Linked DNA regions of Elephas maximus indicus. The protein of the gene in region 1 interacts with the protein of each later gene in a pairwise test. Links are inferred from orthologs where the notes say so. Each region holds a gene or a part of one and is shown in the gene's direction. Other genes may lie near its edges.

What was found.
Region 2: the proteins of TRIM54 (region 1) and ARHGEF5 interact in binary tests that used the Homo sapiens proteins (3 or more experiments, as listed by UniProt). The two-hybrid records come from large-scale screens. The link is inferred for Elephas maximus indicus from reciprocal best matches to the Homo sapiens genes TRIM54 and ARHGEF5.
Region 3: the proteins of TRIM54 (region 1) and TTC23 interact in binary tests that used the Homo sapiens proteins (3 or more experiments, as listed by UniProt). The two-hybrid records come from large-scale screens. The link is inferred for Elephas maximus indicus from reciprocal best matches to the Homo sapiens genes TRIM54 and TTC23.

Annotation. Positions count from the first base shown.
Region 1 is NC_064830.1:45,788,491-45,794,097, forward strand, and holds the start of TRIM54 (tripartite motif-containing protein 54), read left to right. Parts: upstream 1-1,649; coding exon 1,650-1,817; intron 1,818-5,607. UniProt on the Homo sapiens protein: May bind and stabilize microtubules during myotubes formation.
Region 2 is NC_064826.1:5,478,563-5,484,169, reverse strand, and holds the start of ARHGEF5 (rho guanine nucleotide exchange factor 5), read left to right. Parts: upstream 1-1,684; 5' UTR 1,685-1,803; intron 1,804-5,607. UniProt on the Homo sapiens protein: Guanine nucleotide exchange factor which activates Rho GTPases. Strongly activates RHOA. Also strongly activates RHOB, weakly activates RHOC and RHOG and shows no effect on RHOD, RHOV, RHOQ or RAC1.
Region 3 is NC_064831.1:90,663,273-90,668,879, reverse strand, and holds the start of TTC23 (tetratricopeptide repeat protein 23), read left to right. Parts: upstream 1-2,468; 5' UTR 2,469-2,666; exon of another isoform or gene 2,667-2,701; coding exon of another isoform or gene 2,702-2,705; exon of another isoform or gene 2,706-2,897; intron 2,898-5,607. UniProt on the Homo sapiens protein: Participates positively in the ciliary Hedgehog (Hh) signaling.

The DNA of each region.
Region 1 (5,607 bases):
TACCAGCACAGCAACCATTAATATTGGTCCTGTAGGTTGACAGGAGTTCACACATCAGTGCTTGCTTGCCTCCATCCTTTCTACCACATCTTATAGAGGCTCATTACCAGGTATTTTATTCTTAAAACAAGGGCATGAAACGTGATAGGGAAAGGACTGTTACAGACCCTTTCCCCACATGTGCCTCTTTGCTCTGCCTGTTTGGCATCTCCTCCACACCATTTATTCCCCATACACCCAGGGTCAGAGCTTAGTAACTCCTGAAACTTCTCTCCCTTGACTGAGATAAGGGCTAAGAAATGTCAGTAAATAAAGAGCTTTTGTCCAATCCCAGTGCGTTTTTTTTTTTTTTTTTTTTTTTGGCCGGGGATAGGGGGCTGGGGAGACAAATTGGGCCTGGGATAAAGAACAAAGCGTGTAGGAGAAAAAGATAGGGGGCCAGTGTTCAAACCTGGGACCAGCCTGGCCTGGAGAGGAAGAGTCCAGGACAACTGTGGGGTTGGGGCAGAAGCTTCCTGGAGCCTTGTGATTATGTATTTTGTCAGTGCTCTAAAATTTCCCTGGAGACTGTTTCCCTTGGTGTCCAAAATAGGTCCCTGGCATTCAGGTCCTTTCTGCCCACCTCACCTTCTCCCAATTTCCTAACAAAGTTAAAGGTCATCAGAGTTCTTCCTGTGAGGTGTTCATGGACCAGAATCTTACACTTTCACAGGGGCATTCTTGTAAAGGCGTTCCAGGCCCTGGCACAACAGCCACCTCTGACCTCTTTAGCTCCTTTTCCTAGGGTGATATGAGAAGGGGCTGGGCAAGAACAGAATGAACCAGAAATGTCTCTCTAGTCTCTGATGCCTCTGTTCTGAATCACGGGGTCTCAAGGAGGAGGGCCAGGGTCACTGGCTAAGTCTGTGGAGGAGGAAACTGTCACTGACTGTAGGTCTGGCGAGAGTTGTCCTCCCACCCTGGGACTTGCATAGTGCCTTTCACGCGGGCTAATTTAGAATTCTGTGTCACTGCCCTGGAAGAAGAGCCCAAGCCAGAGCATGGAGGTCAGGGGCTCACGGGAGCCTTCTGAGGGGAAGCAAATGAGAGACTGACACCTCTGCTAGCATACCCTTCACCATAAGCAATGAAGCTCACTCCCTGCTGTTGCTCAAGGGAGCCACCCATTCCTGAGTGAGTCAGGGTCACTCACTCAATGACAGCTGTGGCTCGCCTTACATGAGCTAAATTGGGAGCTGGAATGACATACAGATGCCCCTTGCCTCCCCACCCCCATGTTAAAGTTAATCTCCTCTCTGTGGAGTGAGGGACAAACAGTGCTGCCCACAGAGTGAACAAGAGAAAGTCGTTTGAGAAACAAAAGGAGAATTTTCCAGGGACAGAGGGAGGGATAGATTAAGCTACATGTGCCTGGCTAGGGCATAGAGCAGAGAACAGGGTGAGACAGAAGTGTCTGGAGACAGCCATCTAAGGACGAGGCAAGTTGTTAGAGGAAGGACAGGAGAGATAGCAGAGCTATTTCAAGAGTGAGCAACAGAAGGGAACATAAGAATCTGCAGACTGTCTAAAGTAAACGAGGAAGGGTCCAGAGTTAGTGAGAGAAGGCCAGGACCAGGGCCAAGGCCAGGGCAGGCACGATCGCTGAGGGGATGAACTTCGCAGTGGGTTTCAAGCCGCTGCTAGGGGATGCACACAGCATGGACAACCTGGAGAAGCAGCTCATCTGCCCCATCTGCCTGGAGATGTTCTCCAAACCGGTGGTGATCCTGCCCTGCCAACACAACCTGTGCCGCAAGTGTGCCAACGACGTCTTCCAGGTGGGCTCCCCGGGCGGGGGTAGGGACGGGTGAAGAAACATAGACTTGCAATAAGACTTCGAGCCAGGTCAGAGCTGAGTCCCGAGAAGGTGATGGGTACCATGCTGTGTGAGGTGGGTGGTGGCTGTTGTGACAGAAGAGCAGAAAAAGGGCCTGACTCCTAGCAGGTCCCAAAGTGAGCATGAGTCAGCAGCTGCGCCGTAGGCTGGTGGTGCAGCCTATGAAGTACAGCAGCTGGAATGCCAGCACCTACAGAGGAAAGAAGATCCCATAGAAACTGGGAGGGAGGTGATCCCACACCAGGCCCTGTCACAGCCTGTGACAGACTGCACTCCAGTGTGGAGCTTCAGATTTTGAGAGTGATATGGAAAATATGGGGAGAAGATCAACAAGATAATAAAATATTTAAAGATAAATCCTGTGAGAAAAGGTCTGTGATGACAGAGAAACTACTTGTATTTAAGACAAAGCTCAGTTCCCTGATTCTGTGGGGGCAGTGTTAGACACAGTGGGAATTCTCCCCAGCTTATATCCATAACCTGTGCTCTGCTCCAGAGTGTTCAGTAAAGAGGCCTACTGGTGAAAAGCATTGAGGTCACTTGACTTAAACAGAGAGAAGGGAGATAAGAAATTTTACTTTCCATAACTAATCGATCTCACAGATACCATTTTAGCCACTGGTTTCAAATATAAAAGCAGCATATACCAGAGTGGTTTATAAGTGAGCTTTCTTTCTTGCCCTGTGCTACACTGGAGTACTAGTAAGCTATGAAATGGAACAAAGATCAGAGAAAGTGAGAGGGAAAGACCTGGATACCTTGCAAATGAAATAACTCTAAATAGGCCAGAGCTGGCTTTGTATGTATGACAGTGATAAGGAACTTCACGAATAAGTTCTTCATCTGTATCAGAAATTATGAGGAAATGTGTTGAACACAATTGATTTTTAACTTAACCAAGAAAATGCTTCCCTTTTAAGTTCTTTGGGGGCAAAGAAGGGCAAACTAAGATGGGGCTGTCCTGCAGCTGTGCCCTTGCCCGTCAGCTGTCTGCCATCTTTCCTTACCGCCTAGCAACCTGCAGTCTCTTTTACCGTCTTCTCATCGAGGCCTATTTCCATCCCCTATTCCTCCAAGTGTCCAAACCTGCCATTATTTGGCTCTAGAGTACAAAGCCAGAAGTTTTTCCCTCTGTTGGGGTGTAGACTCCTATGCCTGCTCATCCCGGTCATCAAGTCATATAAGAGAGGCAACTTTGTCCACTATCCTGTTTTTTCCCTTGGTCTAATTTTGAACATTCTTTAGACTGAGGTGCCTGGTGGGGGGGATGGCAAAAATCTCATGAATTTATACTGAAACACCCCTCATTTGAACCTGAAATATGTGAAAGCAAAAAGAAGTTTTGAAAGCTAAAGTAATGTGCCCTTTAAAAAAAAGTGGTCAGGATATTAAAGTACAAGCCACACAGTAATTGTGTGGTGGGACCCAGGAATAGGTCACATACATGGAGACTAGAAGATGTTTAAATGACCTCTGTTGTTCCAGTTGGTCTTCTGTACCCAGGCACACTGCTTTGGTCCCATGAAGCTCTAGAATACTGATGTGGGCCCAGAGAGAACTGGGGATGGTTTGGGTTTGGGTCCAACACTGTACAGATTATTTGGGAGATAATGTGATTCCAGGCTTCGGGATGGTTCTTTGGGAGTGATGTGGAACAGCCCCTGGGCCTTCCAAGAAGATAAGAGTGAACAGCTTGTTTCCTTCATGTTTTATTTGGGAAGGCCTGGTGGGAGGCTGACCCAGTTCTTCAGCCACACTTATGTATATACATCTCAGTACATCCCCCTCTAAAAGATGAACATATTTAGTTTTTTCACACATTGCCTCCACATTTTGACAACTCGGCACAATCAGATCGTCTGTTTTCTGAGTATGGGGATAAGAATAGGGCTTTTGGTTCCTCTATATAGGGTTGCTATGACTTAGAATTGACTCAACAGCAATGGGTTTTGTTTTGTTTTGATCTTAAAACTACTTAGGAAGAACACCTTAGAACATTGCCTGGAAAGTTAACAGGACTCATTATTATAAAAGTTAAAAAGTGACAATCATATATTTTTAATAAGCAATATACATATACACATACCTTTTTTTTTTTTCAAATAATATAGGAGTTTATATCATGAAAAGTGAATCTGCTACTCACCTCAGACCCTCAGTCTCCTTCTTTGGATAGAGGTAACCATTCCCAGCTTTCTTAGGTGTGCTCCCAGAAATTTTCTGTGGAGAGGTACATGTTTGCACTTATGTATTTATATACGCATATTTAAACACAAATAAGAGCATACTAGACTCATTGTCTTACACTTGGCTTTGTTCACTCACTCTCAGCGATTGTTCCATCCCCACACATTCAGATCTGTGTCTTTCTCTTTAATGGTTCTGTGGTTTTCCCTAGTTACGGCTGGACCACAGTCTATTTTAGCAGTCCTCTAAAACATTGTCCAGTGTTTTGCTGCTCTAAAAACTGCTGTGATGGACATAACGCTCTAAAGGCTTCTGTGAAGCAGGAATTTTGGGGAATTGTGATTTTATAAGATCAGGTTAACCAGAGAGCCAGCAAACAAGATTTGAAAAGATAAAAGCATTTAATTGAAAATATTGTACAGTATTAAGGGGATGGGAGGAAATCATATTTTTGCCTTTTACTTCAAGTCCCTGTCCCCATACATAACATATTTTGACCTAGTTGCCATTAGAATTTAACTAGTTTTCTTTGGAGCCGTAATGCATCTCTGTTTCTCTGAATTTAAACTGAATAAAACACAAAGCACCGCCTTAACCTCCTCAAATTTCTGCTTCCCTCTGTCCCCACACTTGCACCCACTCAGCTACCAAGAATTTTGACTAGATGAAAGCTGTTGGTGTGGGAATTTGACACAAATATTTTCTCATGTGTTTCTGTATTTGTGAACTCGGTTGTGTCTATGCCACTTTAATGCAAGCCTTTGGTTTATTTTTATACTTGCCCCCACTTCACTGTGGGCACTTGCTTATGACCTGTAACGTGTTGTAATTTAACAGACAATCCGGAGGCCTTGTGAGAAGGTTGTTCAGGAACAGCTTTTCTAGAGGGTTTCCATTTAGGGAGGGACTTGCTGAGGTGGGAATACTAAGAAAGAGCCTCCGTCTCTAAGGCAAGAGCAGTCTTGGAAAGAGATGAGCTCCGTTTCACCCCACCCCGAATCCCAGTTCTTTATCGGCTAATTGTTAGGACCCGTTGTCAGCAGCCTTAGGCCTGCCAGTAGAAATCTCACACAGCCTTCCTCCTAGACCATTTCACCCCCTATGGTGGGTGCCAGGACTCCCCAGCCCAACCTTGAGCAGGTATCATTTATAAGAAATTGGTTCATCAAAACCTTGTCAACTGCGTTAATCTTATGACAGAGTTAGGGACCTTACTTAATCTTTAGGAGAGAAAATTGGTTTGGTGGAGAGAAAAAACCTGGACTGAGATTTAGCATTCCTGGGTTCTAGTCCCAGTTTCTTTGCTAAATTGCCACATGAGCTAAAGCAAGTTATTTCGCTTTTTCAAGCCCGTTTTCACATCTATAAATTGAAGGGGTCTTTTCAACCTGTCTTTAACATCCCTTGTAATTTCAATGATCTGGTTACACAAATTCAAGGAATATTACTATGTGTCCTTGATGCTTTTGAAGAGGACTGGCTGGTTGTCTAAGGAGCCCTGGTGGTGCAGTGGTTAACGCACTTGGCTGCTAACTGGAAGGTTG
Region 2 (5,607 bases), on another chromosome or scaffold:
TTTTTTAAGGCAATGGCACCCTTTCTGTCTCCATAGCCCACTCCCCAAGCCCTCCACCAACAATGTGGGTGTAGTTATTAACCTTTTCAATCTTGGCTAATCTGATAGGTAAGCTTGGCAGCCCACTTTTTAAAAAAATTTAATATTTATTGTACCACTTATTGATGCCAATCTAGCTTTTGTTTGTTTGTTTTTAAACCCCAAGAATCTTGGCAACCTTTGCTGGCACTAAAATCGCACCTCCTGATCCAGCTATAAGGGGTGTGAACAGATGGCATCCTGAGGCCAGGCCATGTAGCAAGTGTCTTCTTGGCTGCACCAGGTACAGCACCCCAGGAGTCCTGAACCAAGGCTGTTTATTCTTCCACAGCCTGTAAAACCACTCCAGGTGCATATCCAGGGTGACCCTGCAACAAGCCATCGCACATACAGTCCCAGGAAGTCATCCTTACTGCCTACGGAATTGTTCTGCTCTCCCCTGGGCCTCCCAGTCCTTTCTTCTAAAATCCAGCCTTTATCAGGCCACAGAACATCGCAGCCAGTGGCCTAGCACAGAAGTCTCTCTTGGCCTTACCCCCAAAAAACCCACTGCTGTTGAATCGATTCTGATTCACAGCGATCCCACAGGGTTTTCAAGGCTGTAAATCTTTAAGGAAGCAGAGTGCCACATCTTTCCCCCAAGGAGTGGCTGGTAGTGTCAAACTACCCATCTTTTGGTTAGCAGTCAAGTGCTTTAAGCAATGTGCAACCAGGGCTCTTTCTTTCCCCCTTAACGCCCTAGTATTCTGAAACCAGGATAGGCAGCCCTCTCTGCCCCACATAACTCCTGGGGCCTCCCAGTGAATCCTAAGTGACCTAACCATAAAGTGACCCAGAAAGACTCAACAAGCACATCAGGGGGACCCAATGCAGGAACCCCACAAGTCGGGGTGGCCTTTGCACTTCTTAAGCCTCCGTCTTCCTCCAGCACAAGGCTTGTTAATCTCTGAGAAGCCCTCAATTTTAAAACTTTTGAGCTAGTATCAACATTCCTTTCAGAAGTAAATCACCACCCATCCGACCCAACCTGGCCCATCTGACCAGGGAGAGTAAAACACAGGGGTCCTAACTCAGCCCAGCAAATTGAAGCCCACAGGACACAAATGGGTGAGCGCCACCCGACTCTGTCCCCCCTGTTCTGCTTGACCTTCCTTCACACTCCATTATTTGACTTCCTCTCTCCCTCCTCTGTACTACTTTTGTAACCCCCCCCACCTCTGTCTTACCTTCCCCCTCTGTTGCCTTTCCAGCTCTGCCCCCACCCCTGTCTGTCCTCTCATTCCCCTAGGTCCCCTGCCCCCGGCCGTGCCCCCGACCCCTGCTCTGCACCTGTCCTGCCCCTGCCCGCTCTGTTCCCCCCGTCCCCCGTTCTGCCTCTCTTCTCCCCCCCTGCCTCCCACTCTGGCCCCTTGTCCCCCCACCCTGCCCCCTTCTCCCCTCTGCCCTCTATTCTGCGCCCCTGCCCCGGATCTGTCCCCCTGGCCCCCTCGGTCCCCTGCCCCCTCGGTCTCCGGGCCCCGGGCGCGCCGCTGGCCTGCCTGGCCTGCCCGGCTCTGACGCACCGCCGCCTTCACACCAATGAGGCCGCGATCGACCGCCCCTCCCCCGGGAAGGTGTGCCCAGGTTTCCTCACCTGAAACTTCCAGGAGGCTGGGCCCTCCTCCCGTCTGCGGGCGCCGGGCCTGCGCGGGGACACGGCGGGCCGCGGACCCTCGCGGACAGCATGTGACCGGCCGGGTGGGCGCAGGTCCCCGGCCCAAAGAGGTAAGGGGCGCAGACGAGGGGGCGCGGCCAAGGCGACCTGCCTGGCGGCCCGGAAACGGGGGCGGGCGGGCCACCTGGTGTGCGCCGCGAGCACCCCCAGGCCGGGCAGGAAGAGGAGGGGAGCCGCCGGGACCTTCTTCCCGAAAAGTACGCTTCCGGCCGGCCGGCCGCGGAAGTGGGCGCCGGCCCAGGTGCGCCCGTTGGCCAGGTGCGCCGTCGCCGGGTGGGGCCCGCCGAGGCCCGGAGGGAGCGGCCCCCACGGGGGATGATCGAGACCCTCTTCTAGGAAAGCCTACAGGACGTGCGTTCTTCTGTCTTTCGCCGTGGCCAGGCCTGCATTTACCTTCCTCCGTACGTGTTTGCGACCTTGTGTGTGTCTATGTGCGCACCCCTCTCCACCAGCAAGGCTTCCCATCTTAGGAGTGAGGGCCCCACCCTAGAAGTGAGGTCCCCACCCCATGGGCAGGTGCGGGGAGCGCCTCCCGAAGCTCCTTGTTAACACCACACTGCATTCTTCACTGGGAAAGGAGGAGGGCCCAGGGCCGGGGGCCAGGACTCCAGACTGGGCCCGGGCCTGAGCATCATTTACAATTCCCTCAGCCAGCCTGTCCTGAATCCTGGCCTCAGCCCCATCTCTCCTGATCCCCACATTCACCGCTGCCTGTCTCCCCACAAGTGACCTCTGGTCAGGACTGATGTCAGATCCAGGGAGGGTGTGTCAGCAGGCGGGCTGGGAGCTAGGCTGACTTGTCCTTGCTGGCTTCCTCCTTCCTCAGCTCCAGGCTCACCACCCTACTCTATCTATGGCTTCCATCCTCAGCTACACTGGAAGCTCCCTGCTCCACTTAACCACCTCCCCATGTTTAATCTGTGGACATGGCCTCCTTCTCCAATGTCCTGTGTTATTCACACCTGGAGTGTGGAGAGGCCCCACAGTGGGGCTCATTTATTAACTCACCTGAGGGTCACCTGAAAGGGAAGTCCATTGTGGGGCTCTTGGGGTGAGGTGGAGGATGGGGAAACGGGGTGCCAGGAGGAAGAAATGACACTCTGCTAGCGGGGAAGGGGACAGCCAAGAGGTGGATTAGGAAGGCTCCTACCACAGGATGCAGTATTTCCAAGCAGAGCCCGGTGTCTTCCTGTGTGCAGGGGCCCAGAGTGTGTGCTGCCAGTCATGGCCTGTCAGAGGCTGTCTGGGGCTATACTGAGCGTGATGTCTTTGGGGCAGACACAACACATTATCCACGGTGTCTGGAGGGGTCAAGCTCTCTGGGGCGTGTGCAGGCAGCAACAGGCTGCTCATGGGGTGAACAGGAGCCACTGTGTTGTTCAGGTGTCTGTGGCGTACGCACCTACAGGAGACATGCAGCATCTGGTGTAGACAGGGGCTGGGCCACACACGGTGTCTGTGGAGTGAACAGACAGGATCAGGTCAGGTAGAGTGTCTGCAGTGAGCCAGAACAGGGTGACTCTCAGGTCTGAACAGGTGGCTCACATGATAACTGTGTAGGCAGCATCAGGACCACAGGTGTGCTGGGGGGTACGTGTTAGCACTGTGGCTGCTTCTGATGTTCTGGGGAGACCCCAGGGTCTGCGGGGCAGTGATGATGTGATATGTCCAGATATCCAGACATTCCCCCCCCAAAAATAAGCAAACCCATCGCCTTCTAGTCAATTCCAACTCATAACAACCCTATAGGAAAAATGTTGATTGCAGTCTCCTCTGGGAGGGCAGGGCTTCCCTAAAGTGGGTGGGACATAGGTCTTAGAGGTCAGGGGTCCAGAAAGCTGCTCTTATTTTGTCATTTTTGTAGTGTGTGGTCCCTGGGTGATACAGTCGGTTAAGTGCTCAACAAAAAAAATAAACATTGCCACTGAGTCGATTCCAACTCTTAGAGACCCTATAGGACAGAGCAGAACTGCCCCATAGGATTTCCAAGGAGCTGCTGGTGGATTTGAACTGCCAGTGAGCTGTTAACCACTGCACCACCAGGGCTCCAAGTGCTCCACTAGCAGCTGAAAAGTTGGCCATTCGAACCCACTTGGTGGCACTGGAAGGAAGTCCTAGTAATCTGCTCCTGAAAGGTCACAGCCAAGAAAACCCTACAGAGCAGTCTCTGCCCTGTAACACACAGTCGGCTCAGTAGCAGCAGGTTTGGGTTTTTGGTGTGGTCACACACGGGGCAGTCCCGTGAACACAGTGAAAAAGGTCGACATCTGATGGTCATCTTACTTTCTAAATCAGATGAGGCATTTCCCTACTGCGAGCCGCAGTCTGAAAGACAAAGTTTAAATGAGAAAGAAGTGTTGTCATCTCAAGAGAACTCCAGGGATTGGTGGGGAAGTCAGAATATTTGAAATGGACATTGCCAGAAAATCAAGGAGACCTGGTCCCAAGGCACACACGTGGCCCCAATGTCAGCCCAAAGAGTGTGTGACAGGGGTATCTTTGAAATGTAAGTTTACCCTGGGGGCCAGACATGGACAAGAGCTGGTACTGGGGTTGGATGGGACCAGAGCTCTGTCTGTCACACTGTGTCAGTGGGGGACTTGAGCTTGTCTCTGACAGAGTTGCATGTGGACCAGTCAGGCGGATGCAAATGCCCTTAGTCTGCAGGAGGGCCAGGTTGCCACAGTGCCCTGCCTTCTCTCTACCCGTGCACAGGGAACAGGGATCACTCACCCCCAGTGCAGAGGGGGTGAGGAGGTGGTGCAGAAACGACCTTGGTGCCCTGACATGAGTAAGGCACCTGCAGGTCTTCTGTGCTGGTCGTGCTTGGCAGTGCCCTACCTGGGTGCAGTGGGGAGTGACGCAGAAACGGCCTTGGTGCCCTTACATGGGTAAGGCCACCTGTAGGTCTTCTGTGGTGGTCATGCTCGGCAGTGCCCTGCCTGGGTGCAGTGGGGAGTGACGCAGAAATGGCCTTGGTGCTCTTACGTGGGTAAGGCCACCTGTAGGTCTTCTGTGGTGGTCGTGCTCAGCTGTGCCCCACCTGGGTGCGATGGGATTACTATGGCAGGAGCAGGCAGGGACATGGGGTGTGTTCTTTCTCCAGTTGGGTAAATGGCTATGCCATGACCCCCAAAATTTCCAGCTGGGCAAAGACGGCAGGAGGCACCGCTGTATCACTAACGAGGCTCCGAAGGTGTCCGTGTGGCACGTGGTACGTACAGATAGAGCCTGGGTATGCCAGAAACATATATTTGGGGGCCATTTATTTTGAGGACAAAGCACAGGATGGTGTGTGGAGGGCAGAGGGCTGGGGTCACACCGAGGTGGATGAAGGGAAACTGCAGGTTTAGCCACACGTGTCTCCTTGGGCAGGTAGGAGCTGAGCTTCAGAGTGTCTGCAGGGTGCATACTATTTAGTGTGTGGTCACCCCCAGTGTCCCCTGTAGAGTTTGGATAGAGGAAGCAAGTCAGACAGTGAGTCAGCTCACTGGGAAAGAACATGAGTCCTTCCACTCAGGCCTGCTCACGTGAGACAGGCTCTTTGACCCACATAGATGGTATCTGTGTCATAGACGGCAGGGCCCTGTCACATACTCCACCTGCGGGGAGGCTGGAGCTCTGCCTGTTTGGCTATGCCACTGCAGAAGTTTCCCATGGTGGCCATAACAAAATACCACAGACTGGGTGGCTTATAAGAACAGAAAGTTATTCTCTTACAGCTCTGGTAGCCGCAAGTCTGAAATCAAGGTGTCAGCTGGGCCGTGCTCTCTGAAGGCTCTCAGGGAGGACACTTCCTTGCCTCTCCCAGCTCTGGTGGCCCCAGGACTTCCTTGGCTTGTAGATGCATTGTC
Region 3 (5,607 bases), on another chromosome or scaffold:
TACCCCGGCAAACACCACCTTGTTATTCGAAAAGCAAAGCTCTTCATCTCAAAAAAAAGTCTACACAATTTTAAGCAGCAATGTTCTAAAGGGAAGGAGTTTCTAAGACTGACTTCCCCGTGCTTAATGCAGTGGCTACCCAGTACAATGTTCTAATATCGGAGATGAGAGAATTATAAACCGTATATGAAAAGCCTTTTTCAAAGGCTGTTTTCGCAGTACTGGCAACGGCTAGCAGAAGTCTTAGGCGAAACAAATGCCGTTCAGCCCGAGTGAGCCCAGCACGGACGCCGTTTGGAAAGCAAACGACAGTTTGGAAGCAGCGCGCCCACTGGCAGGGATCTCAGACCCCGGTGTCGGGCTCCTCGGGTCCGAGGGGGCGGCGGGGCGCGGCGGGACGGGAGGCCTGAGCGATCGCAGCGACCCGAGGCCCGGACCGGCCCGTTTGGGCCGGGGTCCCACTCCTCGCGGCCCACTCGGCTTCCCCAACGTGGCCCGGGGCAGCCCCGCCGGGAGTCGGGCCGGAGGGCCCCGCCACGTGAGCCACCCGACACGGCAGGTAGCCACACTCACCTGGGCGCCGGCGGAGCCAGCGCTCCCGAGCGCAGGAGACACTGGACGGCAAGCCGAGGGCCCGCGGGAGAGGGGCGGGGCCTCGGGGGCGGGGCCCCGGGCGCCGGGAGGGGCGGGGCGAGGGTGGGGCGGGGCGCCGGGCAGCACAGGGCGGAACCCGCACCTCAGGGAGTGAGGGAAGTGGGAGCCGTGGAGAGGAGAGCGGAACCTCGCGATAACTTGCCCCCGTTCGTGCGGATTCGCGATAGGTGGGACGAGAAGCACGTTTTCCACGAGATGTGTCTATTGGCCGAGAGCGCGGCTTCCTCCACACTGGTCCCGCCCCCTGCCGGCGCTTCCGGCTCCGGCCTGGCGGCTTCTTGGGGTAGCGGGTTTTTGTTTTTCTGAAGTTGTAATTTAACCTTTTCCAGCCCCAAGATCCGGCAATAGTTAACTTTTTCTTTCATTCATGCGTTCATTCAGGCACTCGTGCTCTCGCCCAGTGCATACGTTAAGGAATTGCAACAATAATAACACCGGATGTTGAGCTGTGCGTGGGCTATCTTTTACCCCTCACAACAGCCCCTTCCCACGGGTGCTATTATCCCCTTTCGACTGGTGAAAACCTGAGGCCCGGTGGGTTTCTGTAACGTGGCCTAGGGCAGCACCGGATTTAAAGACTCGGTGGCAACGGGTTTGGTTTTGGTTTTTTTGGTGAGTACCAGGTTCCAAAGATGAAATAACCCAGTCACTGCCCTTGAAACACCGAAGATGTGTAGTGAGTTACGTATTATGGAAGTCCCTAGCATGACTGGGTAGTCCGTCAATAAATATCACTTCAAGAATCAATTTTCCTGTGTCAGTGGAAAGAGACATCAAAGGAAGACGGCTTCAAACTGCTTTGAAAACAACAACCAAGCATTGTTCTGGAATATTAAAACACATACACACATTTTTAAAATACCACGCTTGTTAATGTAACAATTTTATGATGAAGTGAAAATTGTTTTAAAAAGTGTCCTCCCTTAAAACTGCAGTTGTTTATTGGTCTTTGAAAAGCTTGATTTTGGTAATTTTCTAGAGCCTCATTGTAAAGCAACTTTATAATTAACTATTTTCAGTTTGGCTTAATTACTCTTAGATATGAATTACCTAGAAAGGAGAATTATATTTTTTAAAAACTTCCAAAACACGTTGTTAGTTATAAATTACCAATTAAATCTGGTCTTAAGTATACAGGATAGTAAATGTCATATAGTTCTAAGTGTTTTTTTTTTTTTTGGTTGGGGTAGACATTTTTTGCTAGGATTAAAATGAAGAAACCTAAAGCGTGTGTAAAAACAAATTCTTAGGATATTAATGATCAGCCAAAATAATAAAACCTGCTCCTAATACAGAAGTCACAAAAAAGGATTAACAATAGAACAACAATTTTTTTTTTTTTAAACGTGCTGATCAATGTCTGCCTCTTTGGTTTTCATTTCTTCAAAAAATTTTTTTCAGTGGAGCAATTTAGTATATGATACTTGGTCTTGAAAAATGTACCATCTTAAAAATTTTTTTTAAATAACTTTTAACACCCCCCCTCAATTGACACAAAAGTAACCAAGTGATAATTGATAATATAGTATTCTATGACCATTAATGAAAGTCTTCTCATTATATAAAGAATCAGTTTTCACATTTTGCCTTACTTAAAACAAGGGAGGAAGACCCCTCTAACTTAAGTTAGCGATTTTGCAAACTTTCACATCAGCAGGCAGCGATACCACTTTAAGAAAATTCCAAGGAAAAGACAACCCCTTTAAAATTCCCACCTCTGGCTCCCAAGGATTGGATTGCAAACTCCAACAAAATACTCTTCTCCACTTCCTATTGGTGCCTGCTCTATCACTCATTCTTCTGCCTTAAATTTTGTGAAGCACCAGGTTGCTTTACGGGAAAAGGCTCCTCTGATTTAGTCTGAAAGTGCCTACTTTAGGCTTTTTCATGGTTATTAATCTGTACAAAGAATCACAAAACTGATAAAGCGGGAACGAAACTGGTAAATCAGGCTACAAGACAACTGTGAAATTCGCTGGAAAAAGAAACGGAGAACCACTCAAGAACACAGGGTAAACTGACAAAGGATTTTACGACAAAGTTAGAGATGTGTGAGTTAAGAACCTTTTCCCGTTTTTTGCTGGTTTTAAAGGAGCAAGTGTCAAAGGAAAGCCAGAGAAGATGTAGGCATGATCTAAGGGTGACAGGAGGGGGAATTTTCAGAAGATATTTTCCTCATTAGGGAGCAGTTGAAAGAGCATCCTCAGATGATCGGTGGATTTCTGAAAGGTCAAGGGAACAAGGTGATAAGACTAATCATAAATTGTTTTCTACTCTAAGAAGCTGTGATTTGTTATTGTTTTGCTTTAACGTGGACTTATTAAAGCAAATTTAATAATACTGTAATTTATAAATGAATTGGATATTTTTGTACATTACCATACCTAGCATAAGAGACGATCCATCTATTAAAGATGTAAGAGAAAATTAGAATCATCTTTGTACCTAAATTTTGTATATATTTGTGGATTAGGAAATCCAGACCCGCTAATGACCAAACAAAACACCATATTGGCATATAAAGCAGAATCACTAAGTAGGTAATGTTAAGAATAAATTCTCAAAAAAAAATCTAGCATTAATATTTTCAAAAATGATATTTTCATTAAAACTACAATATAAAAGTATAGGAGGATATTGATAAATATGAATACATTAATTATATTAAAACTTGGATTTAGAATGGCAATAGGCAGTGATACCACTTTAGTATCTAGCCCAACATATAGTCCTAAAATAAAAAAATATAGCACCTTAAAATTCTTCAAACATTAATTCAGCTAGTACTTATAATACCTAGTGGCACGTCTACAAAGCCTAAACGCACAGTAGGCATGCACTAAATATTTCTTGAGTGCCTTCTATTAATCCATTTTGAGAAATATAATAAAATAGAGCCCCTTGAAGAAGCTCAGACTGACCCAACCCAGTGCCGTCAAGTCAGTTCCAACTCATAGCGACCCTACTGGCTGGGAGAAAAATCAGTCTCAAAACATTTAAGTTAAAACTATGAGCTCTTCTTGATGCCCAGATAACTGTTACAGACCATAGATGCTTCAAGATCTCAGGTCTGAGTAGAAATATTCAGGAAGGCCTTCAAGTAGGTGAGGCCCAATTCGGGCCTGAGCAATGGGCAAAATTTCAGTAGATATGAAAGAAGGGATGTGACCTTCCAGGTAGTAGGTGAGTTGTTAGCAAATACGTGCAGCCTTGACTTCAGCAGAAGGCTCATTTGGGAATCTTGATTTAAAAGAAAACTTACATGACCGTAGAGCCAAAAGTACCAGAATTGAGGAGTTTAGTCCTGAGTTTTGAACAGGAGAGAGACTTTATGAAAGTAATATACAAAGAAGATAAAACTGACAGTGCCATTTAAGATGGCCCCAAGGGTAGAGAACAGAAGCAAAGAAGCAAAACATTGTAAATACTAGAGTACAGATTATAACTGAGCCTCTTAAAGCATTTTGTCAAATCCCTTTACTGTTGTTGAATAACATAAATCTTCATGCATTTCTTCATACTCTTCGAAAGCTTTGAGTTTATTTCTTGTTTGGCAGTACAGATAACGATTTGGTTAGGTGTGGGACTGGTTGTGGTACAGTTAAAACAGCAAAGGTGATTATATTGTACATTGAAGTGGTTCTTTCTCTTTTGTCTCAGAATTTACGTGTGTTTTCTTGATTTTATTAAACTGAATTGAAGGAGTTACAAAAACAAAACAACAACCAAAAAAACTCCTTATGACAGAAGAATGCCATGGAAGTCTATAAACTTTTCACCTGAAATGCTCCAACGTGAAATTCCACACAAACTCAGTGAGCTGTTACAATGTGCCAGGCGCTATGTTCAATGTTAGGAAAGCAAAGGGGAGTGAAGTACCATCTCCCAAAAAAAGGGCGAAGTGCTTCAGGGACACCAAGGGAGGTGGTTGTCTCCTCCTTGTCTTCATCTCTGCAACAAAACTTGCTTCTAAAGAATTGAAGCTCATCTATCCTAAGTAATTGATGAATGGTTCTTAATTAAGTGGAAGGAGAAGGAGGAATCTTACCTGTGGAAAAGAACTGTGAGACCAGCACTCATAATGTAGATAACTCAAGTGCCACACAATAATGCTTACCCAATATTCCATTTTTTCCCCTAAATATCCGAGCCCTTTTGGCTGGGAGCAAATGAAATGTTAGCAGAAGTGATAAGTGTGACTTCTGGGCAATGGTGCTCATTTTTCCAATCTTTCTTATCTTCTGCTATGACTCCTGTTGATGTATGTTGTTGCTAGGTGCCATCAAGTTGGTTCTGACTCATAGAGACCCCCTGTACAACAGAACGAAACACTGCCCCATCCTGCATCATCCTCACCGTTATTGCTATGTTTGAGTCCACGGTTGCAGCCACTGTGTCAATCCATCTCAATAAGGGTTGTCTTAGTTATCTAGTGCTGCTACAACAGAAATACCATAAATTGTTGGCTTTAACAAATAGAAATTTATTTTCTCACAACTTAGGAGTCTAGAAGTCTGAATTCAGGGTGCTGTTTTTAGGGAAGTCTTCCTCTCTCTGTCAGCTCTGGAGGAAGTTCCTTGTCTCTTTGAGCTTCTGCTCCTGAGCCATCTTCTGTGGCTTAGCATCTCTCTTCCCCCATCTCTGTTTCTTAGTTTGCTTGTTTAATCTCTTTTATATCCCAAAAGAGATTGGCCCAAAATACACCCTCCACTAATCCTGCCTCATTAACGTAACAAAGACAACCCATTCCCAAATGGGATAGTAATCACAGCCATAGAGGTTAAGAATTACAACACATTTTTTCTTTTTGGTAGGGGGAGGTGGGGTGGCGGGGGAGGCACAATTCAATTCATATCAAGGGTCTTCCTCTTTTTCAATGACCTTCTACTTTCCCAAGCATGATGTCCTTCTCCAGGGACTGATCCCTCCTGATAACCCATCCAGAGTATGTGA